Linked DNA regions of Xenopus tropicalis. The protein of the gene in region 2 purifies or fractionates together with the protein of the main gene of each other region. This does not show direct contact. Links are inferred from orthologs where the notes say so. Each region holds a gene or a part of one and is shown on either strand. Other genes may lie near its edges.

Evidence for each region. Proteins that work in one complex are often made in the same cells at the same time.
Region 1: the proteins of bag2 (region 2) and stub1 purify together in Homo sapiens (affinity purification with mass spectrometry; 7 studies listed by BioGRID and IntAct, with this or other methods). This does not show direct contact. The link is inferred for Xenopus tropicalis from reciprocal best matches to the Homo sapiens genes BAG2 and STUB1.

The regions. Positions count from the first base shown.
Region 1 is NC_030685.2:14,826,106-14,829,246, reverse strand, and holds the end of stub1 (E3 ubiquitin-protein ligase CHIP), read right to left. Parts: intron 2,747-3,141; coding exon 2,690-2,746; intron 2,490-2,689; coding exon 2,373-2,489; intron 1,739-2,372; coding exon 1,613-1,738; 3' UTR 559-1,612; downstream 1-558. UniProt on the Homo sapiens protein: E3 ubiquitin-protein ligase which targets misfolded chaperone substrates towards proteasomal degradation.
Region 2 is NC_030681.2:95,349,162-95,352,039, forward strand, and holds part of bag2 (BAG family molecular chaperone regulator 2), read left to right. Parts: intron 1-1,428; coding exon 1,429-1,538; intron 1,539-2,878. UniProt on the Homo sapiens protein: Co-chaperone for HSP70 and HSC70 chaperone proteins. Acts as a nucleotide-exchange factor (NEF) promoting the release of ADP from the HSP70 and HSC70 proteins thereby triggering client/substrate protein release.

The DNA of each region.
Region 1 (3,141 bases), on a different chromosome or scaffold from region 2:
TAAAACATACATTTGTTGGTTCAAGAAAAAAATTATAAATGGTAGAGTGAATTATTTGCTATGTAAACAGTGTAATTTAGGAATATAAAATATACCATAAAAATCATGACAGTATCCCTTTGAAACAGACTCGGCAGTTTATCTGCCCATGTACGGGGCCCTCCAACAAGCCTCCACAACCACTATCTGGCCAAATATTGGCCAGATGATGTTCGGACAGGCTTTGTCATCGGGTCGGGGACAACATAGGCTCATTAACACACTACGATTTTTCCTTTCCCCTTTATTGCAATGTGAATCGTTTGGCCCTAGGGGAAATATTTGCTCATTTGCCGTCCTTCCCAAAGGAGTAAATTGGTGTATTACAGCCACAAGAATGATTGGCTGGTTTCCTCCCACATTCCAGGAACACACAGGCAGGTGGTTCCTGAGAAAATTCCCAGTGTGTGAGATAGGGACGTTAGATTGTAAACTCCACTGGGATGTGAGTGACATTTAATCTCTGTACAGAGTTATAGGAATAAATGGTAAGGGTGTGAATTGAGCCAGGCACAGCAGTACAGCGTAACTCCTTTAATGTATGCATCTGTACTGACGGAAGGGCTGCCACACTCCTCAATGGCCACATACATATCAGAGACACTAGAACATATTTACATGGACTATGTACAAAGTAAAGCCAAGGAGTTCAAATCCCGGGGTGGATACATTCATTGCTGCAGATGTGCATTTGGTGTAGTTAGGGCTGAGTCAATACAAATCCTTCCATCTGCAGCTTCGGGAACCACAATCTAAAGGTTTTTATGCGTTTCATGCATTGCACTGCCTGCAGCAGTTAGTCGCCATACCGGACAAAGGGCACCGTTTAGCCCGGACTCTTAGTTCACAGCCATTGTATATAATTTGCCATACTAAGCCAACATCCTGCAAAGCCCACACTGAAGGTTCTGCTGTGCTGCTTTTAGTGTCTTGCCAGCAGAGGGTGCTGTTCCACGAATCACAGCTGCTGCAACGCAGCGCAAATGAACCAATGCAGGGCGGGTTGAGGACTTCACAAAAAAGAAAAATTCAACGTTGAACTCCACAGTCAAGCAGCTAAATAAGAACACGCTATATTCGGCTGGCAAAATATTGGCATACAGAAGACATCACGGGCTTGTTCATATACCACTGTAGCCCAGTCTGAGAGTTGTACTAAATACTTCTAGGTGTGAGATGATGGCTGGCAGAGTGCATGCTGTGTCGGCAAACAAGTCATCACCAGAACATAGTTCTTCAGCCCTTAAACCACACAGCTATAAAATACTCTACTGGAAGTGGAAAGGAAATGAACCAGGAAGCCGAAGCAGGCAAGCGTTCCACTCGCTAGAAGGTTACCGCAGTAGTGAATCTGGGAAAAGCACACAAACAAGAGACTGGGAATCCAGGGAGGTCCGGAAGAGTAAGGACCAAAGCAGCAGACTTGGGTTGCTGGACCTAGAAGAGACTACTGGCAGAGGGCTCAGAGACACAGGGGAGGAGAGTAAGGCTTAAGGCTGGACAGGCACAGTCTGTGACACAAGAGGAGTAGGACTCTAATGGCAATGCCAGGCTTCTGCAGTCTTCCCCATGATCAATAGTCCTCCACCCAGCCATTCTCTGATATGAACGCATCAATGACCTCCTTCATGGCCAGGTTGGGGATGAGCTGGTCTTGAGTCAAAGGGCTTCGAGTCACTGGATCAAAGTGGCCGACTCTCTGGTTAAAGAATAAACAAGTGAGACTGGGGCTGGCACACATACATGTCCTGAAAGCTTTGCAAGTGCCTGTATCACTGTGCTGGCAGTTACAGCAGAATGAAACCCCCCCAGTGTATATATGAGCAGCTGATGCTCACTTCCAATAGCTGCACATCTGCCAATTTCAGCTCTTACATGTGCACATAAATATAATTCATCACTATACCATGTTCTGAGATGTCAAATTGTAATATACTGGTCTGGAATTATCTGCCCCACACCCACTGCTAACCCACCCCCATTACCTGCCTCCTCGGAGACACACAGAGACACAACTTGCAGGGCTGGAGTAATCTGTTGGCCCCAACCCATAGGCAGGCCCATGCAATATAAATATCCTTTAATTATTCTATTCTGAATGGACTTTTCCAAGATCTGTCTTAGTGAGATTATTATGAATCCTGAAACAGGGGAGTCACTGTCCCTTCAGAGTTTATCACAATTGGGTTGGGGCCCACGAGGGCCAGGGCCTGCTGGGTTTTTACCCGGTATCCCCACAGAACAATCTGGCCCTGTCCATCTACACCTACATCGTTCCTTCATTCCAACATTTCCCAGCCCTCCCTCCCATACCGCTCCCCATATTACATTACCTGAAGATGCTCCTCGATGTCTTTCCTATCGTACGTGATGCCGCTGGGTGTTATGCAGGGTTCTCTCATAAGCTCAAAGCTGATCTTGCCGCACAGGTAATCTGGGATATCTCTCTTCTGTTAAGAGAAGGACCGGGAGAGCTTAGAATAAAGACAACATCATGGCAGCTCTACACACGGCTTTTCTCATTTCTTATAGCTGCCAAACCCAAGCTGGAAACACGGATATAACGGAATACCGGTAACTCTAGGAGGCTGAAAAGGAAAGCTCTGGGCCCTGTATGAGCTATGACTGCTGTCGAGTATTAAACACTCACCTTTCTCTTTTCATCCACTTGAGAGAAAAGCTCCTCCATCTCAGCAAGATGCTTGTCCTAGAGAGCAACAAAAAAAAAAAACAGTGTTGGCGACTGCAGCTGTACAGTGATAAAGATGTTCCCTTTATCCATAAAGATGTCTTTCCTCACCAGGACCCCTCTCTGTGCAGAGTGTGATTTCTGCTCTGTAGTGTTCCAGGGAGCGGGACTTCAGCTGCTACAGGGGCACTGGCTGATAGGGTAACTCACCTGCCACTCAGAGCACAGATCACAGCTGTACAACATGACAAGGCCTCAGCTGATACAACCAATAAACCAGCATCCCTTATATATATTAAGCGGGGTGTTTTGGCATGGAACTTGGCTCTGATGGGCACAACCCTAAATATGGCCAACGGTATGGGAGTTCTAAGCAACTTTATAACTGGTCTTCGTTATTTATTTGTTATAGT
Region 2 (2,878 bases):
GGTCAAACTTACTGCTTACTCTGCAGTATGACGAATGGTTTGGGAGAATATATTCCTTCTGCATCATCCCTCAGCTTTTTGGAATAATAGATGTTCAGTTTAAGATAATTACCAAAAAGAAAAAAGCTTTAAAGTGTTCCCTATGCCACAAGCCACAAAGTGGAATGCGTGAGTAATGGTTAATTTTTCTGAAATCCACATTAATGCCCAAAGATCCTTTTAGTCACATGTTCAAAGGAAACAAAAATTCAAACAAGCATCTGGAAAATACTCAATTTTTAATAGACTGAGATTTTTTTAAGACATTATCTGTCTTTGTTTTTCTACTCCTGGTTATTTTTGGCCACATAAAGGGTCGATAGGTATTTGGGGCCTCCTCCTTGGCACGCTGGATGTCTGTTCTTTTCATTCCCCTTACTGCAGCATAAGCAAAAACAAAAATAACTAACCCATTATTATTATGGGAACGCTACTTCTCTTGGCTCCCCAGAGCAGCTCCATACACGCTCACCAAAACTGCCCAGTTGCACATATAGGCACATCACCGTCTGATATATCAGCCAAATTAATAAAGCTGTAGGCTTTCCAGCCACAGACCTACTGTGGTCCTCATTTATCAACTCTGGGTAAATTTACACCTGGGCAGGAATTTATAGCAGCCAATCAGTGAGTAGCTTTTTTCAGACAGCTGCAAGTAGAATAATAAAAGTTGCCACGGGTAACTGCCAGGGATAAGTTTGACCAGTGTTGATAAACGGGTCCCACTAACTGTTACATGCTGGAGCCCATGGGAGGTTGTCCCAATTTATCTGTTGCTTGAGTGTAAATATCATTGCCAGTTCTTTGTTGCTTTTGACATGTTTCCAATGGAACTTTAGCAGAATGCTGGGTTGTGTACAGAAAGCAGTAACGTGCTGACAAGGGAAAGTAGGCTATTTTCAGATAGCTAAAGGTCCATGGAGATCATTTTCTGCAGAGATTACACAGGTATGGGATACACCAGTATCACCAAATTAAAGGAAGGCCATCTCCCATAGACCCCATTTTAATCAAATAATTCAAAATTATTTTAATAAAATAATTTCCTTTTACTCTGTAATAATAAAATAGTACCTTGTACTTGATCCCAACTAAAATATAATGAATCCTTATTGGTGGCAAAACACTTTTATTGAGTTTATTTAATGTTTACATTTATTTTTTTAACAGACTTATGGTATGAAGATCCAAATTACGATAAGATCACTTATCCAGAAAACTCGAGGCCCCAAACATTCTAAATAACAGGTCCCATACCTGAACATCATATTAAATAAAAATTTTATGGCAAAGCTTTTGTAGGTTTCAAATATGATGGCGAGAAACAGATTCTGCTGAATGAATAGTGCAAAGGAATAGTGACATTATGTAGTTTTCCCACTCTTGCAGGGTCCAAGCCTTTCGTGATGCAGCCTCTGCCCTAGAGCTGGAGAGGGAGTCTCTGATAGAAAAGATTCACAGCGTGCAGAACAGTCATGACATAAGGACGATCAGTGATGGTAAGGCCTACTCATCTCTATAGATAACGAATCCATGATTCTTACCATTTTTTTAATAAATGACTCAACATTGCAGGTTTTAGTGGATATCATTTTATTTGTGGTTTCAAAAAAACACTAAAATCTGAATGTTGATAAATGTGCCTCTAAGGATTAACTATAGCAGATGCTTGTGCCTTAGAGCTGTTAACCCTGAATCTGGAGGGGGAGAGATTGACAGGAACAGTGGGCCTCACTCAAATGGAAGATACGCCTTAAGTTCTTCCATCTCTCCTGTCACATACCTCGGTTACAGATAAGAGTGACTGGCCATCTGTTCCCTTTCCCACCCCAAGGTTAACACACCCAGAAAGACCTACTGAGACAAAAACACAAATGTTGGTAAATGCAAAATGGTGTATCTGTTGGAGGAAAGATTATATAATTTCAGTATTTTAAAGGACATTTACCATGTATATAAGTTGGGCATGTCTCCCCCACCCAAACCACACCATTTGTATTGCAAAAAAAAAATAAAAAAAAATTTATATATAGTCTACAAAAAATCGGCACTCACCACTCCATAGATATCGGCCGGGTGCTAACCAAAAAATACAGAGTGCATATGTAGAAAGCACTCACGGCAATAGATATATAAACAGTCCGTTTATTCAATCATCGCATCTACGCGTCTCGACCCCCACAGGATCGTCATCAGGATAGGGAAAGGAAGTGAAGTGCACACATAACATGAACTAATCAGTGCTCCCAATCAATTAGCATGTTCAATCCAAGAGTCTGTAAGTATTATATCAATTAAGTGATTAAAAATCACTGTTAAAACCCCCCTCTCTCATAACACCATCTATGGAGCACCTACTCACGCATCATAAATATAGTTAACATTTATACATTACATCAGTAACAAAAATTGACACATGATTTTTTTAAAAGCACGATCATCAATAATATCAACATAAATATGGGGGCCAATAGAGAGCGGGGATAACCCGATAGTGAAAAACAAAATACTCAAACCATCTCCCATTGTGGGAAAGTTAGAGAAGTGAATAATATACTATATATCAGAGTCAGAGTCCACGAGGAGCAATAGTATCCAACCTTCGAATCCATTGAGCCTCCCTTTGTAGTAGTAGTTTAGAAATCACCACCACGCAATAAAGGGGGAATATGATCAATCAAACTAGCCCTTAACATGGGCAACGAATGTTTCTGTTGTGTAAAGTGCCTTGCAAGTGGAATATCAGACTTACCAGTAGCCAAAGCCGCACGGATCACTGATCTGTGATTGTTCATTTGTGTGGGGAAAGATGTAACACATTTTCCTATATAGTAAAAGC